6 linked regions of the Rattus norvegicus genome follow. The protein of the gene in region 5 binds, or shares a complex with, the protein of the main gene of each other region. Links are inferred from orthologs where the notes say so. Each region holds a gene or a part of one and is shown on either strand. Other genes may lie near its edges.

Region 1 (4,096 bases), on a different chromosome or scaffold from region 5:
ATTAAGAGGCAGCTGAGTGTTTTTTGAACCTGTTTGAATTCAACTCGAGCAGATTGCTCCTTAAGCACACACAGAGCTGGTGTCCCCACCCTTTCTGTTTACTGTGCTCCACGCGTCCTAACCACATGTCAGCCCTATTTTCCATGACCGTTCTACTTAGCAGGGGCTTCCTTTCGGGCTGGATGTGGTGGTGCATGCCTTTAATCCCAGTGGAGGCGGGAGATCTCTGCAAGTTTCAGGCCAGGTTATAGACTCAGGTCCAGTCTCAAAACAAAAGTCACACTGTAAACCCTCGTGTCAAGCACAGTAAATAGTTAAAATGGTCATTGAAGGTAGGTGTCAGAGGACTTTGATAATAGCGAAGCAGAAGGGATTAACGCTGTAGTTTACCACTCACCTTCACTGCCTGGCTCTTTGTGTTAATGGGGGGGTTTTTCAGAGCGGCCTGTAGGGCAGCGGTCATGTTTCCTGTAGTGAAGGTTAAGGGCATAACAGAAAGGGCAGCCCCGGGGTTGGGGATTTAGCTCAGTGGTAGAGCGCTTGCCTAGGAAGTGCAAGGCCCTGAGTTCGGTCCCCAGCTCCGAAAAAAAGAACCAAAAAAAAGGCAGCCCCACTTTATGGGACTGGTGGGTTAGACTTGACTTTGTGAACAGTAACAAAAACTACTATGGTCATTAACTGTATGGGTTTCTTTCCAATATGTCAACCAAAGGTTAAAATAATGAAATTAAAAGAATATGATTTTTTTTTTTTGGTTCTTTTTTTCGGAGCTGGGGACCGAACCCAGGGCCTTGCGCTTAAGAATATGATTTTTTTTAAAAGCAAAGATTGTTCTGACCTGTTCTGTCAACCAAAGAGATTACACTTTCCAGGGAAATACACACAATTGTCTAGACAGGTATTCAAGAAGTCTTAGAATATGCCTAAGAATTAAGCCATCGAATGATGCAGTTTACCAACAAAGTATTCCATCCTGTCTGCGTGATTCTTACTGGAAAACAAGCCTAAACTTGATACTGAAACTACACTGTGTATTAACTGAGGTGCTGGCAGATTACTCTGGCAATCAGAGTGGGACAGGCCGTGATAGCTGCATATTGATGAACAGGGCTCCAGATGATGTAATAACCCACACGACCTGTAGGTGGCAGCTTACTTTATTTCCTACAGGTTATTCAAACTGGGCTGGACCCTCCATACCTACTTCGTACTGAAAGCACTAATGAGTTAGCAAGCACGGGAAACGGAAGGCCAATCAGACTGTCAGAAAAGACAGTCATTTCCCTAAAAGGAGAACCAGAGTCACTTGTTCCTCCATCTGTAGTACCCAACCGGGGCTGCCGCTCCTAGTTATAACCAGAGACAGTACCTTTATATTTGGATAAGATGGATTGATGAAAAGGTAGACTGAATTAATAATGGATACAGTCATAATAATCACCAGAAATTACCTAAAATACATTAGTTTAATAAAATATCATATCCACCATAAAGATTTCTTTAAACGAAGAATAAACTCACCACTTCTGTGGAAAAGGTCTAATAAAAATTATCTACAGTTAGTGATAAACTACTGTCAAGCCTGCATAGTCTCTTAAAGAACACTTTTTAAAGAAAAAAATCCCAAGTATTTTAATAAATAAATTAGTAGCAACCAATGTGGAAGTAGTGGTAATGAAAGTTAAACGTATATGGCACATATATGTATATATTCGATGCTGTGGTTACCACTAAATATTTCTGCTTACTTCTTCATCATAATCTAGTAGAAAATCGATGAGGGAGATATGTATCTACAGACTTAATGAATACGAGTTTTCTAAAGCTCCAATTTGGGGTTTTGTGACATTTCTATTTTTCTAAGGGATCAATGCAAATGATTTTCAAGGTTATGAATATTCAGATATGCAAACCAAGGAACCAGGAACTGACAGCCATATTTTAACTAGCCTGGAAACAATTTCAGAAAAACGATTTTGATTTATAGAAGTGACTCATTCTCTGCTTTATTCACTGGGGTTCATCTTAAATTATTCCCAGGGATTCTCTACATGCATTCCCTATCCTTTTCCTAGTAGCCTTTTCTTAGCAGGTGAAAGGCTCAAAGCCTTACCTGGGAATTTTGGATTAGAAAACTCCCTTCAGCCTGTTCATAAATTATATGCAACCTTGCCCAAACCCTCTTCTTTTAATAAATAACACTGCTGATGGAAAAAGCTCATGGGCTGAATGTACGGAGGGCCTCAATTTGTTCCATCTCTCCTGGCTAGAATAAACTATGCCCGCTCCGCAAATCACACACACCCGACAGAATAGCAAGACTCCAGGCGGGACCCGTGTCCCCACCGGGCAGGAATTTTTGGAGCTCAGGTGCCCACTAGGGCGTCATCCGGTGCCCCCCCGAGAGGGTGCGGCCGCTTAGGACAGCGCACCTGAGGAATCGGGGCGCCGGCAAGTTCGCAGGCGCGGCCGCGGGGTGCAGGCGGCCTGATAGCCCCGGGACCTCCTGCCCTCCGTCCCCACCTAGAGCCGGGCACAGCTGGCCGCGTGTCCCCGTGTCCCCGCAACCCCAGGCCGCCGCGAGCGTAAGGATATTGCCGTAGGCATGAGTCCACCTCGCCCTCGTCGGGCCCGGCCTGGCCATCGCCGCCGTCCTCCTCGTCCACGAACTTGTTCTCATCATATTCGTCCACGTCCACCTTCCGGAAGCGGGCCGACGACACCGTGTTCTTCGACATCCCGGATCGCGATGCAACTCTGGCCTCCCCTCCGCGGTGCCTCTTCTTCAGCGAGCCTAGCCTTGTCCGACTCACTTCCCTCTTCCGCTCTGGGGCGTCGCCGGCAGCCGCTGCTTGCTCGCTTCTGGGCCTGCGCGCTAGCCGGCGCGGCTTCCTCCTCAGCTTCCAGCCATCCTTCAGCCCCCGCTCCGCCCCCGCGTCCCCCGGGAGCGCGCGTCGGCCAGGGAGCGCGCGGGACGCACGGCGCACGCGCGGGCCCGCTGCAGGAAAGGGGCGGGGTTGGAGGGAGAGAGGCGGGGGCGGCGGGCGGACAGAAAGCGGGCTGAGGCGGAGCGGGAGACTTGATTGGCCGCCGGGGAGCGTCACGTGACACCCGGGAGGTTCCCATAGAAACGCTTTTCTGCGGTCCAGCCTTGCGGGGGGTCTTGGGCTGGAGGCTATGGGCACTTGGGGCGCGTGGCCTGGAGTGCTGCCGCCGTCGGTGCCAGCCGCTTGTTGTTGGGGTCCGGTGTGAAGTGTGGGTGGTCGGACTTAAGCGTGGGGTGGGATGGACTGGCTGCAGAACCTAGTCCCCTGCAGTCAGCGGGAGAATGAGGCGGAGTGATGCCCAGCACGAAACTAGTGATCGGAGCCCTCCATTCGGACCGAGCGCCGCCGGGGGCTGCGTTCCAGAGCTGAGAGCCCCTTCCGGGGCTTGGGATCTTGGCACGCTGTCGGTGGGAGGTCCCCAAGGACGGAGTCGAAAGGTCACTTCTTACCTGTCAGTGCTGGGGGACAGCATCGCGGCCGGACCTGCAGAATCTCAACTCGGTATTCTCTCCATCTGGAGGGAGGGAAAAGATGCTTGGGCCGGGGCTGGGGACGGGTAGCGAAATTGGGGCAAACTTGTAGCATTTTCTAGAATCAGTCATCACATCTTAAAATAAGTAGTTATTTGGAGCAAGAATGCCAGAAGAGGGTGGGCGAGTTAGGCTTTTCAGCGCTGGCGCTGAGGGAAAATAGCGTGTGCAAGGATTAATAGAAACTGGACTTTCAAGGTTGTTATTTATTGTTTAAGGCACGCCAGATCAGCTTTTTTGCGATATTCCACATTCCCGTCAGAGGCACTAAGATTAAACAAATAATAGCTGTGCTCTGTGCATTATACTGTCGTACACGTATTTACAAAATAAAATTAATTCAGACACTTGGCTATGCTCTGCTTAGATGCAGATCTACCTGGTTTCACAAACAGCAGAAGGCTGGATGTCATCCTGTTGAGTTACCTCGTTTGTTGTGCAGTACTGAAAAAGAGCACTGGGCTTGGGATCAGAAAGCAGTGGCTGAGTTTCGACTTTTTTGCTCTCATAATCTGCGAG
Region 2 (4,091 bases), on a different chromosome or scaffold from region 5:
TCAGACAAACAAGGACTAGTCCTGATAAAGCCACTGATAACCCTCCACCCCATAACTTTTCTAACTTGGTATCCCCAGGCAATAAGCAGGTCCCATAAACCTAACAGTACATGGGGACTAACAGTCATTTTATTCACAAAATAGATAGGGAAGGGCAGAAATGATACAATTAGTCTGTAAGGATGAAAACATTAGACTCGGTACTGCAGCTTGCCAAGCAACCACAGACAACCAAAGGCCCACAAATGCTGGGTAGAATGGGGAGCAGAGAGGCACCTCTACAATCACACAATGTTTACTAAACTGGCCTCCATACCCAGATGGCTGCCAATAATTTCAGAGAACAGGCTATGGTAACAGAAGAACCCTATAGACCATTCTCAGACATGGCCCTAGAGCAATTTAGCAACCTCCCTGGTCTCTACCCTAAAGTTTCCAGTAATACCCCAAAACTGTAATAATCAAAATATCACCAAACATTGCCAGATTTCCTTGGGGTGGGGTGAAAAAAACTACAAAATCACTCAAAACCACTGTTCTACAGTCCTACTTGGGAAGCTGTTTCCCAAGAAAGAAAATGAGCTACAGTGGTACTTTAAAACTGCTGGAGTGGAGGAAAAATTCTCCCTGGAGGTCTTGGACCCAGGACCAGATGCAGTCACATTTCACCTTATTCTAAAAACCCTCCAGGACAAGAGCCTGACTTCTACCCTAAAGACAATGAAATTGAGTCAGAGGGGAAATTACCTGCCCAAGGTCACAAAGCTACATTCAGAGCTGACCTTCAAATCCAAGCCCTTTCTACCATCCCTTGCCCCTACTACAGCCTGGACCCAAGTTTTGGAGGATATCTGGTGTGTGTTCAGTTATGCTCCCGTTGAAGCGGTAAGACCAACACAGTTGTCTCTATCGTTTAAGAAGAGTGCTGGGGTTGAGAGGGTATGTGGTCAGCAGCAGTTAAAACAGGTTAGACTCTGTCTGTCCATGTAAGCACACAGTGGCTTTCTATTCCCACATTCTGCTCTTCCACAATGACAATTCCCAGCACAGCCCTGAGACCGCCACCTGCAAACATCCCCCAAATCTCTCTGCTATTCTCCCTTTAGACTCACATGAGGTTCTATAGACTGAATGCAATGATTGTCACCTGACAGGGACTCAATGATCCTTCTCCCTACCTGGGCCTAACATCCTGCTAGGGTTTCACTTCTAATCTGCTAGCCTCTCTTCTCCCAATACCAAGAGGTACTCTCTCCATGGTAACAAGGCTTCTGACACTGCCATGAGTGTAGAAGCCATCTCCTCTATGAGCTAAGCCAGTGCCTCTAAGCTACCTCCAAAAACAGAAGAAAAAGAAAAGAAAAAACCGTCAGGGCCTTCAATAAGTCCCAGCATCAATACCAAGGCAGCAGCTGACAGATCCCAGCCTCTTCATCAATATACTTAGGATTCTGGCCCAAATACATTGCCTTGTCAACAGTGACTGCACATAAACCAGTCTTCCCTCTAGGGGCCTTCTCATGACCCAATTTTAACCAACTTAATGGTGCAGGAAATACCAGTTTGAAATATCCACATTTGAAAAACACATTCCTGTTCAGTCTAAAAGGGTTGTTTTCAAGCTACATTAGAGGAGCACTACAGGACTCCTCCCAAAAGCTGTACACCTGACTTCCCAGGTTGAGTCAACTAAACCTGATTTATATACAGCAAGAGCTTTCAACCCTATCCTGGCAAGTACGGGGGAGGGGTACACACTTCCTGTCAAGCTATTTGAATAAAGAAAAAAATCTTCCTGTGAGAATAAATCAGTTTCCTGTGGTGCTCCAACTGCTAAGAGACCAAGCCAGCTGTGACAATCACCTCTATTTTTACTCTTCTGTTATAAATGCTTGTTTTCTGTGGCCACCAGCAGTCATTTTCAGTCGCAGGGAGCCACTTTTACACTTGACACTGTATGGTGTATTTTAGCTCTGAATCACTAGCTTTTTCCACGCTTTCTGCACAAGACGGCTAATGGCAGAGTCGCATTACTTGTTGAATGTACTCGGCCCATAAAGGCCCAAACCCCAACCTGCTGTGGTAAGTGGAGACAGGCGAGAAAAGGTAGCAGGCAATACCACACCTGTGGGATGGTCCTAAAGCTGCACCTCCCCCACCTCCGCCCTACAGTCAGTCTTCCTCCAACCATCCACCCACCTATTTTCGTGCTGGGCTGCAATCGGGCCCAAGAAAGCCAGTTAGACAAGCGCAGGTGGCCCTGGTTGCCCGATGAATCAAAGGTGGCTCACCTCGGTCCCTCTTGAGGACCAGCACCCGGGAATGACCCCGCTTACTACAAGGAGGGATAAAGGGATACCAAGGCCGATGCACAGTCACCCTGAAGGATGCAGAGCAAGGCCGAGAGTGAGACGAGCTCCTGGGCCGTGCTGCTGAGAAGGCGTGAGGCCACCAACGACGGACCCGGGGAGCCTGGGGCTGGCAGGAGCCCGGAGGGGGAGGGGGGAGGGGCGGAAGACCGGAGGACCGGGACTGGGGCTGGGGTGATCAGGGTGCGAAGGCCAAGCCGGGCCGCCACGCTGGGAAGGATATTGCCGCAGGAGCCCGTCTACCTCGCAGGGGTCGGGGCCTGGCTCGCCCGACGCCGCCGCCGCCTCTTCGTGCTCGTCTACGAATTTGTTCTCGTCAAATTCGTCGATATCCACTCGGCGGAAGCGTGAGGACAGTGTGTTCCGGGCCATGGCGGGAGCGCGGCGGCCGCCCAGCCGCCTAGGCTTCGCTCCGTACCGGCTCCCTCCGCACCGGCTCCGCTTGGGGGCGGGAAGCGGCCGCCGGGCACCTCCTCCCCTCCTCCGCGCGCAGCCGCCGTCGCCCGCCCACTTCCAGGATGCACCGGAACCGGAAACTCTTGTGGGCAGGGCTGCGCTGCAGGACTGTGGAAAGCTGGTGTAGTGCTGTCGGAGGTTGCAGGCGTAACTCTGTCGTCCCAGAAGCCGGACTGCAGTGCAAGGACATCTTCCGCCTCTGTCCGCTCCGGAGGAAGAAGTTTATGAGCTGATGGAGATGAGTGGTAGTGAACCGCAGTGCCGGAGTCTCTTAAACACTAACCGCATTGACCCACAAGGGACTTCTTTGTTAAAACTAAACGGCTCTAAAGGCGTTAATGTATAACCCGGGGCTGGCAGGACGCTTGGTAACAACTTTACTTGAGGATGTACCGACCCCTGCGAGCGTTCCAGAAAATAAAGATGACTCATGGCCACCTGTACTCCTAACTGAAGAGGCGCATTTTAGGAGGCGAAAACTACAGAATTCCCATAATTCGATGGGAGGAAGGTGGCTTCTAGGACGGACGCTTGGGATGCTGGTTTCTCTTTATTTCAACCGTAGGCTAAAATGAATCCTTTTTTTTGTAATTATACGAAAGCTATTATATTTTCACCTAATAGAACGCGAACAAAAATCAGGTGAAACATGGTTTTGCTTTACATAGTTCTCCTTTAACTTCAAATCAAAAACTTCCAGGCTGATGCACCCTAACCTTGGGATGCTAAAGGCAAGCTCCCATGGGGGCAAGTACACGCTGAATAAAGACTCAGATCCTGAATGTAGTCCTGCCTCATACCTAAGAAGTAATAGGGGCGCAAGTTAATCAGAAGATAGCAGGAATTCATATCCCCAGAACAACTTTATTATTTTTCTTAAATATTTTGTCTTCAAGTATTTTTGAGCACCACCTGGGTGTATTGCCTGCTGGAGGCCAGGAAAGGACGTGGGATCCTTTTGGAACTGGGATTACACAGATGGTTACTAGCCACCATGTCTTATGGTTATTGGGAATGGAACCCCAGGTCCTCTGTAAAAGCAGTAAGTGCTTTTAACTGCCCAGCCATCACTCCAGTCCCTCCCTTAGAACATCTTGGTCAGAAGGAACTTAATACCAGAAATACTGGTTTGACAGGTAAATAGCCTCAAATAAACTAATGAATGAAATAATGTTCTAGCTTGTGTTCATGGATGTTCATCAGGCAAAAGGGATTTTTGTTTTGTTTGAGACAGGGTTTCTCTGTTTTACCCTGGCTGTCTTGGAC
Region 3 (4,166 bases), on a different chromosome or scaffold from region 5:
AGGCTACCATGAACAGAATTTCCCTATTAATCTGTTCTGAGAAGTGCAGAGAGCAGTGTGGAGCTGAGCTCTCCCAGGTTTCTACCCTGCACAGCCTTTCACTCTGCACAGTCTCTCTGGGCTACTCCTTTTCTTTAAGCTTTCTATCCTCTCCCAACAGAGCTTGTCCATCAGTTCCTCCCTAACTTTGCTAACAGGTTGTCTTCAAAAGGCTCCCTGTTCTTTCAACTGCTGCCTGGCATTGAGCTCCGATGAGACCCATCCTTGCAGAAGACAGCAGTGGTGTACGCGTGGCCTCAGTAACCACTTCAGTGCTGCCTCATCTTGACAGGCAGACTGGAGCACACTTGCTTAGAGGTTGGCTTTTCTTTTCTTTTGAGACAGAGTCTCACTAAATAATCCCTGGCTGGCCTGGAACCTGTGTTGGCCCTGCTGCCAGGGTTATAGGAGTGCTAGGGTTATGGGAGAGTACCACCACACCCTGCAGAAACAGGCAATCTCAGGAAACCCCAGCCCTTCACAGTCTCTTCTCAAAGATTCTCAAAGTTTTTTTAAACACAATGTTTTGAGCATATTTGTTAAGCCACATATCCCAAGGATGAACTAAATAAGACAAAACATACTACTGCCTCAGACATTAAACCTGGCTACAGTGAGCATCCTTATCCAAAAAAACAAAACAAAACAAAAAACAAACCAGAAATTCTAACTTATGCCCTCCAAATTTAAAACTCTATTTTAATCTTTCTGCAACAAGGTAGGCCAGGATGGCCTAAGAACTGAGATTACAAGCACATCACACCTAGTTTGGCCTGGCCTTTTTTTTTTTTTTTTTTTTTTTAAATACAAGGTTTCATTAGGGCCTGGAACTTTTGCTGTTCCTGTCTCGCTCATATGAGCCCCTGAAAGCTGGGGTTACAGTTGAATGTGCCTGGACTACAGGCATACATCACCGACCACAGAACTTTAAGGAGAGTTTTCTAAAAGTAAAAGGGCTACATAAGGTTCTGAATAGTGGGTCACATTTTAGAATCAAGTTATTAACAAATAAATAACTATGAAAGTCCTCCTCCATTTAAAGGCATGCCTCCACTTGAACACACGCAGCCATTTATCTTGTAGATCCGCTTATAACCACCCAGGACTCATTCTTTGCTAGTCAAGACTTGAGAATGTATGTATTAAGATCAGTTGTGAAAATGCAGAAGTTATCTTAACTTCCTCATTTGTGCCACACTAATTAAAAAAAAAAAAAAGCACACACCCCATCACCTACAATAAGCCCCGGTGTGTCGACTAATTCCAAAACTCAAAATGCAAACAAGGTGAATAAGAGCGAGTGAATAGGCAGCATGTGCTCAACGGCACTCAGGGCAGGAAACTATGTTCACTGAACGCACCAATTCAAGGACTGTCCTATTTTGTTTGCAGATAAAACGTGGAGCCTTACAAAAGAGACAGAACAGGCAATGTATTCCATGCTTTCAGTGTCAGCGAACCACACATTCATTATAAATGCTTAGAATTAAAGAGGAGAATGAATGAATCCCCCCTTCCAATCCTCTCCTTTCTGTGGATCTGCAAGCACTTTCCTATTTCCAGTTCCCCGTTCACAGAAACAGTCTGCACTTACCTCCTAACTGTGAAACCAAAATGTGAAGCCCCATCCTCACCAATGAGGAAATGAGGCAAAGGAGTGGCCACAGGCCACCATAAATTAGAACCTAAAACCTCTGCTCAGGTTTTAAATACATTAGGGAGGCAAAGCAGCTTTAAGGGAGGAGTTTGCTTTTTTGTGTTTGACAGAGAAGGGTTGAAATACGTCCCATATTAAGATGCTGATGTTAATAAATAATTATCTTAAGAACTTTATAGATTCTGGGAGAGGCAGCTATTAACCCAGCGGGCATTACTAGAAATCAAAGATCAGGTGTCTTGGATAAGAATTTAAGACACCCAACCAAATCAACCTTGTCTTGAGAGCTAAAGAGAGTGGATGGAGAACTGTTGGCTTTGCCTAAGAGATATGTAACAAAATGGCTAGTGTCTCTCGCAGTAGGTTAGAGGGTTTTTTCCCTCCTAGAAGCCTGGGTCTGCTTTCAGTCTTGCCTCCTGCTTCTCCTGGGGGAGAGATGGGGGTGGGGAAGCAGAATGCCGGTGGCGATCTGGGCCTGCATGTTCTTCCCACCTCATCCTGGGAATTCCTAAAAACTCCATTCAATCCAGCTTCCCCAAAAGGGTCTTTCTGGGTTCGGAACAATGACGGTAAATATAGAGGAAAGTGGGGCCCTCTCTTTCCCCCTTAGGACAGTAGGCTCTCGGACGTGACTTCTGGCCTCGGCTGCCCTCACGTCCCACAGGTCGTCTGTTCTCTGGCACGCCTTGCTCCTGCCCTCTCGTTGCTTCCGCATCCCTGTCTCAGCCTCTCCCCACGCATCTTAGGCCTTCGGCTTACCGCGCCCCGTGGCTTCCCACGTCCATCCTGCTAAGGAAACCCTGAAGCCGCGCCAGGTTCCCGACCTCTTCCCTCTAGGGCTGGGGAGCTGGACGCCACCCGGGATTTAGCTAGGGTCAACTCGGCCTCCTCCCAGTGTGCGCTTACCCGGCGGCCGCGTTCTCGAACTTGAGCGCGAGCGTCTCCTCGATGATGCGGTTGTTCACCTCCAGCAGGATCATGGCGGCGGCTGCCCCGAGCAGGGGAAGGAGAAACAAGGGCGGTGAGGGTGGGCAAGCGAGGGTAGGACTGAGGGAGCGGCCCCGCTGCCCCTGACGAGGGGGGCTGGGTGCGGTAGGTGAGGGGAGAAGGGGACGGGGAGCGGGGTGGGGAGAGGCGGACACACGCGCTGGCCCGGCACGCGCTGCCCGTAGAGGCAGCCACCACCCGACCGACCTGGCCCCCGAAGCTTCAACCCGCCTGCCGAGCCGCCGCCGCCTCCGCCGCCGCCTTACCGACGATCCCGGTCCCCGCCCAGCCCCCGGCTCCAGCCGGCCACTTCCGCTCTCACACCCACTTCCGCTCGCCGCCCGGACGCGCGGCCCCGCGGCGCCATTTCCGCTTCGACCTCGAGCGTGCACACGCCCGCAAGCGCGTCCCGGTAAGGAGGCAAGCAGAGGGCATGCGTGCGCATGCGCGGCACGCCGCCCCGCCTCTCCTGACCAGTTGAGTCCAACGCTCACCTGTCATTCCCTGTTGTCCTTACTACAATCCACCTGCGCCTTTCCCGAATATTCCAGAGGCCCGATTCCACCCTTCCGGTATTATTTCTGAAACCCCGTAAGAAGCTTGTTTTGGGGGAACTTCTTGCTTCTAACTTGTGGATGCTCTTTACTTAGGGCTACCCTGCAGCACCTTCGTGCCTTTCTTTGCCAGCGACTGTTTAGTGGGCATCGTGTAATGCAATATGACGACTTACCCTCCTAAAGCTTATGGTCTGATAAAGGAGACACAATAAATTCTCAATGAACTACACATTGTTACTGGGCAATAAAGGAAAGGAATGAGTAGTCAAGAAAGTTAACAGGAATCCAGATGGGCCTTCCGGGATTCCTGTCACACCTTCATTTCTTTGCTTAAGTGCACCTCAGGTGATCCTCATGGTCCAGTAACTCTGCTACAGTTAGAATTTTCTATCACTGTGCTCCACTGTCCTTTCTGCGTGGGTACCATGTTTCCATTTTTCTCTCTTCCAGGAACAATTTTAATTAAGCCCCTTCTCTATGCAATGAACTTTTTTTTTTTTTTTGGTTTGATAGTGGGAATATTTGTTTTAAGTGTGCAGGTAGGGGCTGGAGTGATGACTCAGAGTTACGTGTACTGACTGCTCTTCCAGAGGTCCTGAGTTCGATTCCCACAACCACATGGTGGCTCACAACCATCTATAATGGAATCCCCTGCCCTCTTCTGGGGTGTCTGAAGACAGCTACAGTGTACTCATATATATGAAAGAAATAAATCGGGGTTGGGGACTTAGCTTAGTGGTAGAGCGCTTGCCTAGCAAGCGCAAGGCCCTGGGTTTGGTCCCCAGCTCCGAAAAAAAGAAAAAAGAAAAAAAGAAAGAAATCTTTATAAAAGAATGTGTGGGGTTGGGGATTTAGCTCAGGGGTAGAGCGCTTGCCTAGCAAGCACAAGGCCCTGGGTTCGGTCCTCAGCTCCGGAAAAAAAAAAA
Region 4 (4,218 bases), on a different chromosome or scaffold from region 5:
GAATACTTCCTGACCATTGCTGAATGATTTCCACTCTCCTGCTGTCTGTATTGAGGGATGATGAACCGAGAAACACTATTTTTTGGGGGGGGGGGGTGTGGAGCATGGGACGACATGACAGGGTTGACAACTCTCCAACAGGGTGTGCTGCTGCTCATCAAAGACACAGAAGGCTGAGGCTGGAGGATCATGAGTTTGAAGCCAGCTTGGGCTTCATACGGAGAACCTGTGATAAATTAGACAGACAGACAGACAGACAGACAGACAGACAGACAGACAGATAGGGGGAGCTTCCAGCCTAGCCTGGTGACCTGAGTTTGATCCCCAGGACCCACATAGTGAAACAAGGGACCAAGCAGCTCTTGTAACTTGCCCTCTCACTCCCCCCACCCCCACACACAAATAAATAAATGTAGTTATAAATAAATACTCCTCTAACTCTCCATCCGGGCGGGGCATCCTTTGCCCTGGCCCCAACCTGGGCCCAAATGGGGACAGCCTGTTGGTCCTTCCTTCTCAGTTGGCTTTTCTTGGCTCTGTTTCCTTGAATCCACATTTTGGCTGGATCTGAGACTTAGACCAGGCAGGAGTTCCCTGCAGCAAGAACCTTGGCTCCACAGGCAATCCAGGAAGTCCCCGCCCAGCTCAGGCGTTCAGTTGAGCAGAGCCAGCAGCCCTTTCTTTTTCTTCTTTATGGTGCTAAGCCTTACTCAACTTCCTGTTGTGGGTAGCCTGGGTGGTGTGATCGGCCCTCCAAGCCCCTAGTTCCTCCTCCTCCTCCCCTTCCTCCTCTGGGCTGCCCTTGAGTGAGTGAGGGGAATGTCAAATCCAGCAACACAGATGAAAATAAATTCCAAAATACTGTAAAACAGCAGTTTTGATAGTCAAAATTAAACTTCTCCAAAACCCAGAACACTCGGTGCTGGCAGGGCTGTGGAGAGAGCCTCATTTGTCCTGTGCCTTGGAAGGGCAGTGTGCTAGCTTGTGTAAGGACAGATAGAACATAGGGTGGAAAGAGGGCTCTGTGCAAGCGAACCTGGGACTCCAGCAGCTCACAACCCACAACCACCAAATAAATACTCTAGCTCCAGGGGGTATCATTTCCACCACCCTGGGGCTCGTGTGCTCGTGTGCTCGTGTGCGTGTGTGTGTGTGTGTGTGTGTGTGTGTGTGTGTGTGTGTGTGTGTGCGCGCCACCCAACACGTAAGAATAAATCTTTAAAAGGAGAAAATAACACGGATGAACTTAGTAACTTGAAAAAGCAAACTTTTAAATCCCTCTCTCTGGGATTCTTTACTACAGAAAATCCTTTTTTAATGGATGAGTGACAGATTGGAAAAACCCACATACCACTGGGGAGGCCGAGGGTGTGGCTCATTGGTAGAGCATTTGCCTAATAAATTCGAGGCCCAGGGACCAAGACAGAACAAAATTAACTCTGGTTAACGTTATTTGTTATTTAAAAGTTCCCCCGGTGTGTGTTCACCTTTAATCTCAGCATTGGGGAGGCAGAGCTCTAAGAGTTCAAGGCCAGCCTGGGAGGTGTGGGAAAGAAGGAGGGGAGGAAAGACCCTGTCTAGAAAACAAAACAACCCAGAGCAAAAGAGAATCACTAGGAATTTTCATTCACACAGAACTTTGCCTTGCACTTGTGTGTGTGTGTGAGCGCCATGGACGTCCCGGAATTCAAACTCAGACCCTCATGCTCCCCGGTCAGTGCTTTTATGATGCCCTGCTCGGTCTCCCAGCCCCGCACATTCTCTTACAGTCGAAGCCAACCTGGTAAATCTATTTTTTTTTAATTGTCCACGTGAAGAAGTTGAACTTCCCTCCAAGTCGCCCCGCAGGGCTTCGGACACCAACCCACCCTACCGCCACCACCACACAAGGCCAGGTTCACCCAAGTGCAGAAATGAGGTCTGCAGGCAGGCAGGCACACTGCCAAGTGTATTGGCCACATCTGGCCGCTAAGCCTCCGGATCTGGAAGGTCCCCATTTTTCCGGCAAGGTAAGTTGAGCTCTACACAGGCGAGGTAGCTCGCCTGCGTCAGCAGCCACAACAGCAGGAGCAGCTACACCGCCCCAGGCTGGAGCTGCCTCCCGGGAACAAGCTCCACGGCCAGCACCTGGGCTGGCTCCCAGTTCAGGATTCCTGCCCGCTCGCCGGCCCCACCAAACCTGCCCTGTCCAGGATGGCCTGGCTGGGTGCCCCTCGCGCCGCCCGGGTCTACTCGCCCAGACCGGGTGAGACCCAGGAACCTGGACCCCTGCTGAGTGGGCATGGTCACTGGGGGGGAGGGTGAGGCGGGGCAGGGTGCTAGCTCATTTCCCGGTCTCAACAACCCGGAAGGCTGCGAACCAAGGGGGAAGTGACTGGGCGTGGGGCCCTGCGCCCAAAGTAACGGGGCAACTCGGGACGCGAGGATAGGAAAGCGGGGCCAGGAAAGCGAAGAGGGGGAGCGAGGGCTGGGGCTGTGCCGCCTCGATGGCGTGGAGTGCGCGGGGACTCTCTGCGACCCTTCCCACCGCACCCCGCATCCCCAGAACGCGGTCCCCCATTATCTCCTCGCCAGCCCCACCCTCGCCGGGAGCCCCACCAGGCCCCCATGCACACGGCTCTCCACTCCTCTCTCATCCTCAGCCCCCTCACCGTCGAACATCGCTCGAGTTCCCTGACTTCTAGGTAGCCTCAGATCCCACACACACCTCGTGACCACCCCACGTCCCTCACCTCGGGTCTCCTCGGCCGCGGACTCTGGACAGTCGACGCGCCGAACCGGCTCTGAGACCCGCGCAGCGCCGCAGCCACTTCCTCGTGGGCGGGGGGCGGGGCCTTCGGGCACAGCCCCGCAGGGACCGGGGGCGGGACCCAGGCGGCTGTGGCCAGATCCCAGGGCCCGCCCACCCCTCCGGGTACCAAGCCGCCTGGACCTCAGTTAAGTCCAGCTCAGCTCAAGATTCGTCCAGAGAGCGCAGGCTGTTGCCCCTAACTACTCTCTGAATGGGGAAACTGAGGCCGGAAGAGAAGGGGAGAGCTGTCTGAGCAGCTAGAGGGCGGAAGCCCGAGATCGGGCCACCAACAATTCAAAGGTGTTTGAGGCCACACGCAGGCACCCTACAACTTAATGTCTCCTGCAGGCCCTGCCCCTCACACACTAGGTGCACCCCAGCCGCTGTTCCCCTGACTCTCAGTGTCCCAAAGATAGCAGAACCGCTGGTGTCCAGGAAGAAGGACACCGGCCACTCCAGGTGACTTCTTGCTTCTGTATTCCACACACTTCCCTCCGAGTTACTGAACAGCTTTGCAGCCACCGGAGTCAGGTGATGCTCCAGGGTCAAAGGTCATCCAGGTTATGTGCTTCTGAAGTTTTTTTTTTCTCTGCTTCCCACCTTAGGAGAGCTCTTTCCTAAACTCCCAGCAGTATCCTGTATCACTGATTCGGGCTTCGTTTACACCGAGACCTGAAGGCTTTCTCTAGGGTGACTCGTATGTTTAGAGGTGCCTGTGACATGGTGACACCTATCATCCCAGCACTGGGGAGGTAGAGGAAGAAAGATGACCTTCAAGTTCTTCTTTGGCTGTGTTAAGCCAGTTGAAGGCCAGCCTGGGTTACACGAAAGCCTGCCTCAAAAAAACTAAGAAATGGGCCAGCAAGATAGCTCAGATGGCAAAGGTGTTTGCCACCCAGCCTCAGGACCTGAACTGAATTCCCAGCAACTCACACAGTAGAATGAGAGAATAGACTCCTTCAGGTAGGTTATCTTCTTGCTTCCACACACATACCAGCCATAATGAATTAGAGTGTGTACACACACACACACACACACACACACACACACACACACACACTGTAGCTGTCTTCAGATACACCAAAAGAGGGCATCGGATCTCATTACAGATGGTTGTGAGCCGCCATATGGTTGCTGGGATTTGAACTCAGGACCTCTGGAGGAGAAGTCCGTGCTCTTAACCGCTGAGCCAGTGATTTTTTTTATGGTGTTGGGATTCAAACTCAGGGCCCTGCACACACACAGCAAGCACTCTACCACTGAGCTACATCCCCAGCCTTCGCTTAAGTCTCCTAAAGTTTGGGTTGGGGATTTGGCTCAGTGGTAAAGCGCTTGCCTAGCAAGCGCAAGGCCCTGGGTTCGGTCCCCGGCTCTGGGGGAAAAAAAAAAAAAAGAAAAGAAAAGTCTCCTTAGGTTTTGGGGGCTGG
Region 5 (3,970 bases):
TCTGTTTCTCAAACATCAGGCCAGCACTCTACTAAATGAGCTACACCTCCAGCCCCCGTTATGTGTGTGACTAGATGGTACGTATATGAGGATCCCTGGGTGAGCGTGTGGGAGAATGCATGCTATGGAGCGTGCACCTCTGGAAATCAGAGGGCAACTTCAAGTGCTGGTCCTCATCCTTCACTTTGTCTTTTGCTGTCCACTGCTGCATACAGTTTCAGCTAGCCCAAAAGCTCTCTGAGGTTCTCCTTTCTCTGTCTCGGGCCTTGTGGTGGAAGCACTGGTGTTACAATCCCAGATCCATGTGGGTTCTGGGGACTTATCCACTGAGCCATTTCCCCAAACCCTTTTCTATTATTTTTTTTTTAAAACTCGAATCATAATGTCTTCTCTAATATTTAATTGTAAAGACATCATTATAACTTCGGGTCCCTAAGTAAAACTGAGATGACTTTAGAAGAATAAGCAGTTAGGGAACAAAACAGAATCTAAGGATGTACTAGTCCTCAAGTTTTCTTGGTTCTTTTTTTTTTTTTTCGGAGCTGGGGACCGAACCCAGGGCCTTGTGCTTCCTAGGTAAGCGCTCTACCACTGAGCTAAATCCCCAGCCGTCCTCAAGTTTTCTTAAGGGACATCACAATATTCCTAACTGTGTTATGATTTAAATCGGAGCTATCTATGAATATGAGGATATGACTATTTCATTCACAGCCAAACATATGTACAAAAAAAAGTGAATAGAGCTTTTAAGTAACTACAAGAATAATACCAAATACAAAACTTTTTGTTTGAGTTAGCTCCTTTCACTTAAACCATAGTAGCTGATCTTTGTCCTAAGAAACGGGATTAAAAAAAAAAAAAAAAAAAAAAAGAAAAAGAAAAAGAAAGAGATGGAGTCTCACTATGCAGCTATGGGGATTTGCCTGTCTCTGCCTCCCAAATGTTGGCATAAAAGGAGTACGTACGCCATGACTTCAGCTTTTAAAAATACTTTTAAGACTTACTGCTTTTTTAAATATTTTTAAGACTTATTGCTATTTTAAGTGTTATGTGTGTTTACTTGGATGTCTGTACCACATGTATGCCTAGGACCCACAGAGGCCAGAAGAGGACACTGAGTACCCTCGAACTACAATTACAGATAGGTGTAAGCTACCACACAGATGCTAGGACTCAAACTTGGGTTCTCAGCAAGAGTAACAAGGGCTCTTAACTGTTGAGTAATCCCTTTGGTAGTTAAGATGGTATTTTTTTTTAAATAAGCACTTTTATAAGACTTTTAAGAAAAGTTTAGACATTTATAATTTAGTTTGAATATAGTGTAACAATACATGCTTTGCTTTAAAAATCTTTTTCCTGATAATTTAGAAGCTTTATAAAATTCTACATAGTTTTCCTCACTGCTTTATCCTTTATCTCAAAAAATATGAGATGCATTTTCTTTTTTTTTTTTTTTTTTTTTTTTTTTCGGAGCTGGGGACCGAACCCAGGGCCTTGCGCTCGCTAGGCAAGCGCTCTACCGCTGAGCTAAATCCCCAACCCCGGAGATGCATTTTCTGTATCCCTACATGAAGTCTGCAACATAAGTATCTTTAACGAACACATAAATGGCGTTGCTTGAAAACTTTTAAGTTACTGTGATCTGTTACCACAGCAGTAGTATGAATGCCCCTTTGTACTCTGTTACCTATGCTATTCAAGCCCAGTTTTAGCTTAAATGGAGCTAGAACAATAATTGTCAAAGTTTGTGATCAACTCAACCAAGGGCACTCTAGTGGCAGAGAATACCAGCTCCTTTCCCTTTTTAACAACCTGGCTTCAAAGAGATAATTCAAGTAAAATCTATTTTAATTTGTGTGTCATCTTTGTGGCAGAGAGGAGAAAAGTCGCAAAATGTTGCAACGCTAAAATAGAAATCACTGAAGAAGTCATTCAAAAGAAACATTTGCACCTTCAAAACTGGAACCTTGAGGCTCCAAACTCATTTTTAATTGGGAATAGAAAGAAACCAGTTGCAAATAGTTTTCCGAATCTGAGCTTTGGTCTGATTTTGACAATTTTAGCATCTTTAAGACTGAAGTCTCTATCTAGTACTGATCCAACTAGAATTAACGACTTGAGAGGCCCTAGGTCTCCTAAGTCTTCCCACAGACGAGGGTCTATGAGGAGTTGCATGCAAGCCAAGAGGTGAAGCAGAAGCCGCCGACCATCCCCCTCTCTCAAAACCACAGACGACAGGGACAGCCCACACACTCTCCGGGGGCAGCCTCGAAGCCCAGAGCTAGGGCCGCGGCCCAGGGCCTGACAGCACTTCCTCTTTTCTCTGCGGAACCCGTTTCCTGCCTCGCATTCGGCATCTTCAGCTACACAGGAAGAGGAAGGCCGCTAGGTCTTGTATGGACGGACACAGGCGAGGCTCGGAAATGGAGACCTCCTCGCCACCTAGACCTACATCTCGGGACGCGGGCGGATGCTCGGGAGCCTGTGGGGACCGGTTTCGCCGCCTTCGGGTGCACTGCGGGGTAGCTTAGCTCCGGGACACCGGCTCAGGGCCGGCCGGCGCCCCCCGAACGTCCTCCCGCGAGCCCGCGTCCCTCGAGAGCCCGCCCGCGCGCCTGCCCGCGCCCCCGCAGCCGAAGGGCCCGCGCGCACCCCGCACACACACGCGGCCGCCCCGCCGGGTCTTACCCCAGTGCCGTTGTCGCACACCACCACCTTCCTGCCCTGGCTGTCCATGGTTCGCCCTGGTGAGCCGCCGCCCGGCCTGGCCCGCTTCCTCCTCCACACGGCCCCGCCCTCGGCCAGCCGCTCCGCCCAAACCGGAAGTCCCCGCCCGGCAGCCGCTCCAAGAGGGAGGTACAGAGAAAAAGCAGAGCGGGGACTGGCAGCCGAGAAGACCAATGAGAGTTGCCCGGTATGGGCGCGCCCTCTCGCCTCGCTCTGCTTCCGGCGCTGCGCAAGGCTGGTGGGGCGGTGGCTCTGACCCAGGTGTCTCGGGACCTAGGGCGCGGCCCGGACGGCTGTGCTGGAGGCAGGCAGGTGAAGGCCGGCGAGAGAGCGGCGCGGAGGCGGTGGAGAAGGGTGGAGCAGCGGGCTGGGAAGACCGAAAGCCACCTGGAGGTCCCGAGGCATGATGTGTCATTGCTCCTAGATCTAGATGGATACACCTACACCAGTTTAAAGCCTCCGGTTTATTTCACACCTCCAGTTGCAGCCCCAGGAGCCCGGCGGGATGCTTTCGTTTCTTTCTGCTTCACCACTTCCCCCTTTGACAGGAACTCGCTATGTTGCCAAATGCCGCCCTCAAAATTGAGATCCTCCATAGCGTCCCTTGGAAACAGAGACAAGGGCTACGCATGAACCTAGAATCTCGTCTTTGAAGTCAGACAACTCCAGGCGGGGTGTGGTGGCTTTAATCCCAGCACTCAGGAGGACTATAGCAATAGAGGCCAGCCTGGTCTACGTGGAGTTCCAGCCCAGCCAGAACCATACAGTGAAACCCTAAGTCTTTGATTTAGCGGGTGGTGTTGCACTCGCTTTCAATCCCAGCACACAAGTAGAGGCAGTTGGATTTCGGTGAATTCCAGGCCAGCCTGGTCTATTTACTGAGCTAGTTCTAGGACAGCCAAGGCTACACAAAGAAACACCAAACAAAACCCTTTCCTTTAGTTTAGCTTTGTTTTCTGAGACAGGGTAGCATTGTCTATCCTTGTGTTAAAACCGAGAGTCACAGATTAAAAAGACCAAATCCATGATTGTCCAATTAGAGCAAGCTAATTTTGGGATGCACCCAGACTGGCTAGTCAACTGTGTCACCGCTGTCGGCCTCTCGAGGTCCGTTTTATAGTAGAGACATGGAAGGATTGTTAGATACAATTGTTAGAAAGATACAATGAAAGGGAAGGATCAATGGGAAGGATATATGTAATGTAAATCCCAAGTTTAGCTAGGTTGAAAAGTTGTTTTACAG
Region 6 (4,042 bases), on a different chromosome or scaffold from region 5:
TCCACGCACTCCAGCAGATGGCGCTGGGGTCCCTGGAGCTGGAACTAGGCAGCTATGAATTGCTGGGTATGGACGCTGGAACAGAATTGTGGTTGCTGGGAATTGAACTCAGGACCTCTGGAAGAGCAGCCAGTGCTCCTAACCACTGAGCCATCTCTCCAACCCTTAGGTGGTTTTTCATCTCACCACCTGGTAACACTTCTGTTATCCTGAGATGTGTCTGCATTGCTGCAACTCCAGGGCCTGAGGGGTCCACCCTTTCGCCCTGCCCTTCACGTCCTACGTGAAGATTCTCTTAAAACTTGCCAGCCATGAAAGGCTATGAGGCTAGACCCCAGCTAATGGAGAAGAGACAAGAACCGCACTGATTCCCAGGTCAGTGTGCTTGATAGCCCAGTTTGGGTCCAGCTCATGGCGCCTTGTGCATGTGTTTCCAATAGCAGCAAGCTGAACCGTCTCTCCTGATATGAAGCTATATATACGATGTTTCCAGCTAACAGAGAAAGCAGACCAAATAAGCAATCACAGACTAAGTCTAGAGCATTCGTTCTGTGTCCACCTGGCTTGCACACAGAGCTTTTCAGTTCTAGCTTTAACTTTGGCTTCACTACTCATGAGCAACACTGCTAGGTTGGGTGAGAGAGATGGCTCAGTGGTTAAGAGCACTGACTGCTCTTCCAGAGGTCCTGAGTTCAAATCCCAGCACCCACATGGTGGCTCACAACCATCTGTCATGGGGTCTGATGCCCTCTTTGGCATGTCTGAAGATAGCCACACTGTACCCATACAAATAAGTAAATAAATAAATAAATAAATAAATCTTAAAAAAAAAAAAAAAAAAAAAACCCCACAAAACATTGCCCAAGTCATTGAATTTTGCTGAGCCCCAAGTCCTTCAGCAGGATATTAATGCCATGGACATCTCTTTTACACTGTCATCCTGAGAGTTGGGGGCTCTTTGGACAATAACTCTGGGTTTTCACATGTACCTCAATAGTCAGAAACCATAAAAATCATAAATCTTCCAAGGCTAAACATGGTGATGCCAGGCAGGCTTGCGATCCTAGCTGCATGGAAAACTGAGGCAGGAGGATAACAAATTCAAGGCCAGCCTGGGCAACTTTATGAGACCCCTTTACAAAAATAAGAAAGACACGGGAATCTAGCTCGGTGGTAGAGCATCTGTGTATGTAGCATGCCATGGGGCCCTGGGTTCAGTTCCCCACTGCTGCCCAAACACACACACAGCTCAAGGTTATGCTTGCCCTAAGAAGCCTTACCTATGCCAACCTCTTGCCCACATCCCCAGGTCCCTTGTTCCCCCAACCCGTCATCAGGCACTGGTTTGGTTTTACTTTTTGCACATGATCATGCATGCCCGTGTGTGTGTGTGTGTGTGTGTGTGTGTGTGTGTGTGTGTGTGTGTGCACGCGCGCGCGCGCGCATACTGGTACGTATGTGTATGTCCCCAGCTGGAGGCCACAGGTCTCTTTCTTCACTGCTTTTCACTTTATTTTTCAGACTGGGAGCCTCAGGGATCTCTATACATCCCCAGCTCTGGAATTGCCCACAGGAGCTGCCTCCCCTGGCTGTTTTACTTGGGTGCTAGGCATCCAAACTCAGGTCTTCACACTTGTGCCACTGAGACACCTCCTCAGTCCTACTATGTATTTGTGTGTGTGACAGTGTCTCTTACTGAACCCAGAACTTGCTGATTTTTGGCTAGGCTGGCTGGCCAATGAACTCGGAGGATCTGACTGTCCTTTGCCTCAACAGAGCTGGGGTCAGAAGCATGATCTGCTATACTCCCGCACAACAAGCTCTTTCCCCAGTATTTTTTTTTTTTTTTTTTTGCCTCTCTCCATTTCTTACAGCTATGTAACCCAGGCTGACCTAGAACTCACTACACACACAGTCCACACTGATCTGAGATTTGCTATTCTCCTGCCTCTGCCTTCAAGTTTTGGGATGAAATAATTGCCACCATCGTTGCCATCGATCTATTTTCTTCACAGCGTTTGTTAAGATCTGAAGCTACTTCCTATTTATATTTACGCGGTTATTGTTTCTCCGTTAAAGTATCAGCTCCCCGAGAGGGCCTTAGCTGCTGCTGTTAACAGTGCTGGCTTCCCAGTGAGAGTTCAGTAGTAACACTTGTCCAATGAAGGTAGACCTTATTCAAGCGTCCCTTTATAATGTGCAATCGGCATCAATTTCCTCCCACTCGGATGCACACGGAAAAGGAAACTCCTGGAAACTAGCGCTGACTCAGTGGTGGTCTGGGAGTTGGGTGGGAGTTACAGCAGGGAGGACGATGGAAGGGGTCCATCAGGGAAGTGAAGTCTGACAGGTGATTAGCAGCAGGCCGACTCACTCCCTGGGGCGGAGGAGGAAGTGGACATGACAAGAGCGGGGGGGGGGGGGGGGGAGAAGCTGGACCCTAGGTTTAAAAATAAAAGCCATCATTTTTAGGTTTGAGGCTCTAGAGTGGGACCTGGGAACACTGCAGGACTGGGGGTTTGGGAGTGGAAGCAGCGGGGCGAGAGAGCCGGTGCTGGAGGCAAAGGACCGGGGCTAGAGAGCAGGGCGGTTTCCTCTCCCCCAGGCCTTTTGACGCAGGTCTCCCGCCTCCCCTCAGGCCCTCGCCCCGCTCGGCTCCCCGACCTTGGGGCTCGAAGACTTACCGGCATTTTGTCGGTGTCCGGATTCGATCTAGAGATGCTGAACCCAGGTAAAGCGGAGCAGCGTTTCCGGCAAACTAGACTGGGTGGAGTGGGCGGAAATAAGCCGGAAGAGGCGGGCGAAGCGAATAAACGCACTTCCGGACCCGCTTCCGCTGTTTGCTACAGCTGCACTGATCGCAATGAATGCCAGGGGGCGCGCCAGCAGTAAGCTCTGAGTGTGGCGCATGCGTAAAACGCACTCAGAAAAAATGGATGGGCTTTAGAATTGAAGAATCCCTCTCAAGTGGTTAATAATCAACTCCCGTTTTTTCCTTATTCCCTGGCTTCAGCTTCAAAGCCAATAACACTCAGTTCCCCGATTTACCCTTCTGCCATGTCTATTTTTTTTTTTAATTTAACCACAGTGCAAGTGGGGGAAGTGGGGGAAGTGAGATCTGACTTCCCATTATGAGACTCGGGATAAACTGTTTTCAGAAACTCTTGCACACTAAGCAGACTTGGCGGCCATTATTATTATTATTATTATTTTTTTGTTCTTTTTTTCGGAGCTGGGGACCGAACCCAGGGCCTTGCGCTTCCTAGGTAAGCGCTCTAACCACTGAGCTAAATCCCCAGCCCCGGCGGCCATTATTTTTATTTTTCAATGTTTATGTTGTTAAGAGTCACAAGAAGTCGAGGCTGGCATATACATATATATGAACATGAACTTATCTGTCTCCACTTGTGTTCAGGAATTACAGATGTGTGCTCCACTACTCCGTTATTTTATTTTGCTGTTTTATAATGCCTACGGTGGTATCTCTGTCTCCCTACCCCTTGACCTGCCATCCACAAAATGTGTATCATATATCATCCCTACTTTTTAAAAAAATATTTATCTATTTATTTCATGTATGAATACACTGTAGCTATCTTCAGACACAGCAGAAGAGGGCATCAGATCCCATGACAGATGGTTGTGAGTCCCCATGTGGTTGCTGGGAATTGAACTCAGACCTCTAGAAGAGCAGTCAGTGCTCTTAACCGCTGAGCCATCTCTCCTGCCCCATCCCTACTCTTTCAACACGGTATGGTGTTAGGTCTTTCCTGATCACGGTAAGGACTAGGTGGGCAAGAAAACCAAGTATTATAAGGGCCCAGGTGATGCCACATGTCTGAAAGGGTGGAAACAGACCTACCACTGACCCCATCATATATCATCTAAGTATTTTGAGAGTCTCGCTGTGTAGCCCTGGCTAGTCTAGAACTTGCTTTGTAGTCAGTTACATTTTAAATCCCTTGTTGTGTGCAAACTTGTCCTGAGGTCAGAAGGCAACTTTTGTGAATGGGCTTTCCTTCCACCACACAGGCCCCAGGGA

Evidence for each region.
Region 1: Actr2 (region 5) and Arpc5 share a complex: the UniProt entries of both Homo sapiens proteins name them as parts of the arp2/3 complex. The link is inferred for Rattus norvegicus from reciprocal best matches to the Homo sapiens genes ACTR2 and ARPC5.
Region 2: the proteins of Actr2 (region 5) and Arpc5l are in contact, whole or in part, in a cryo-EM structure (PDB 6YW6), measured with the Homo sapiens proteins. The link is inferred for Rattus norvegicus from reciprocal best matches to the Homo sapiens genes ACTR2 and ARPC5L. Residues at the interface, in NP_005713.1 of Homo sapiens: Tyr225, Glu263, Phe266, Gln267, Arg319, Lys322, Gln323, Ser338; in NP_112240.1 of Homo sapiens: Arg11, Arg12, Val13, Asp14, Ile15, Asp16, Glu20.
Region 3: Actr2 (region 5) and Arpc2 share a complex: the UniProt entries of both Homo sapiens proteins name them as parts of the arp2/3 complex. The link is inferred for Rattus norvegicus from reciprocal best matches to the Homo sapiens genes ACTR2 and ARPC2.
Region 4: Actr2 (region 5) and Arpc1b share a complex: the UniProt entries of both Homo sapiens proteins name them as parts of the arp2/3 complex. The link is inferred for Rattus norvegicus from reciprocal best matches to the Homo sapiens genes ACTR2 and ARPC1B.
Region 6: Actr2 (region 5) and Arpc3 share a complex: the UniProt entries of both Homo sapiens proteins name them as parts of the arp2/3 complex. The link is inferred for Rattus norvegicus from reciprocal best matches to the Homo sapiens genes ACTR2 and ARPC3.

Annotation. Positions count from the first base shown.
Region 1 is NC_086031.1:67,453,083-67,457,178, reverse strand, and holds the start of Arpc5 (actin-related protein 2/3 complex subunit 5), read right to left. Parts: upstream 2,801-4,096; 5' UTR 2,739-2,800; coding exon 2,596-2,738; intron 471-2,595; coding exon 398-470; intron 1-397. UniProt on the Homo sapiens protein: Component of the Arp2/3 complex, a multiprotein complex that mediates actin polymerization upon stimulation by nucleation-promoting factor (NPF).
Region 2 is NC_086021.1:43,168,311-43,172,401, reverse strand, and holds the start of Arpc5l (actin-related protein 2/3 complex subunit 5-like protein), read right to left. Parts: upstream 2,801-4,091; 5' UTR 2,742-2,800; coding exon 2,593-2,741; intron 2,381-2,592; exon of another isoform or gene 2,200-2,380; intron 2,154-2,199; exon of another isoform or gene 1,864-2,153; intron 1-1,863. UniProt on the Homo sapiens protein: May function as component of the Arp2/3 complex which is involved in regulation of actin polymerization and together with an activating nucleation-promoting factor (NPF) mediates the formation of branched actin networks.
Region 3 is NC_086027.1:83,268,769-83,272,934, reverse strand, and holds the start of Arpc2 (actin-related protein 2/3 complex subunit 2), read right to left. Parts: upstream 2,677-4,166; coding exon 2,603-2,676; intron 1-2,602. Other genes in the region: uncharacterized protein LOC103690558, read left to right, coding at 2,675-2,717, 2,775-3,255, 3,334-3,421. UniProt on the Homo sapiens protein: Actin-binding component of the Arp2/3 complex, a multiprotein complex that mediates actin polymerization upon stimulation by nucleation-promoting factor (NPF).
Region 4 is NC_086030.1:14,606,689-14,610,906, forward strand, and holds the start of Arpc1b (actin-related protein 2/3 complex subunit 1B), read right to left. Parts: upstream 2,801-4,218; 5' UTR 2,733-2,800; exon of another isoform or gene 2,708-2,732; intron 1-2,707. UniProt on the Homo sapiens protein: Component of the Arp2/3 complex, a multiprotein complex that mediates actin polymerization upon stimulation by nucleation-promoting factor (NPF).
Region 5 is NC_086032.1:98,532,293-98,536,262, forward strand, and holds the start of Actr2 (actin-related protein 2), read right to left. Parts: upstream 2,801-3,970; 5' UTR 2,737-2,800; coding exon 2,689-2,736; intron 1-2,688. UniProt on the Homo sapiens protein: ATP-binding component of the Arp2/3 complex, a multiprotein complex that mediates actin polymerization upon stimulation by nucleation-promoting factor (NPF).
Region 6 is NC_086030.1:39,844,637-39,848,678, forward strand, and holds the start of Arpc3 (actin-related protein 2/3 complex subunit 3), read right to left. Parts: upstream 2,801-4,042; 5' UTR 2,691-2,800; coding exon 2,685-2,690; intron 1-2,684. UniProt on the Homo sapiens protein: Component of the Arp2/3 complex, a multiprotein complex that mediates actin polymerization upon stimulation by nucleation-promoting factor (NPF).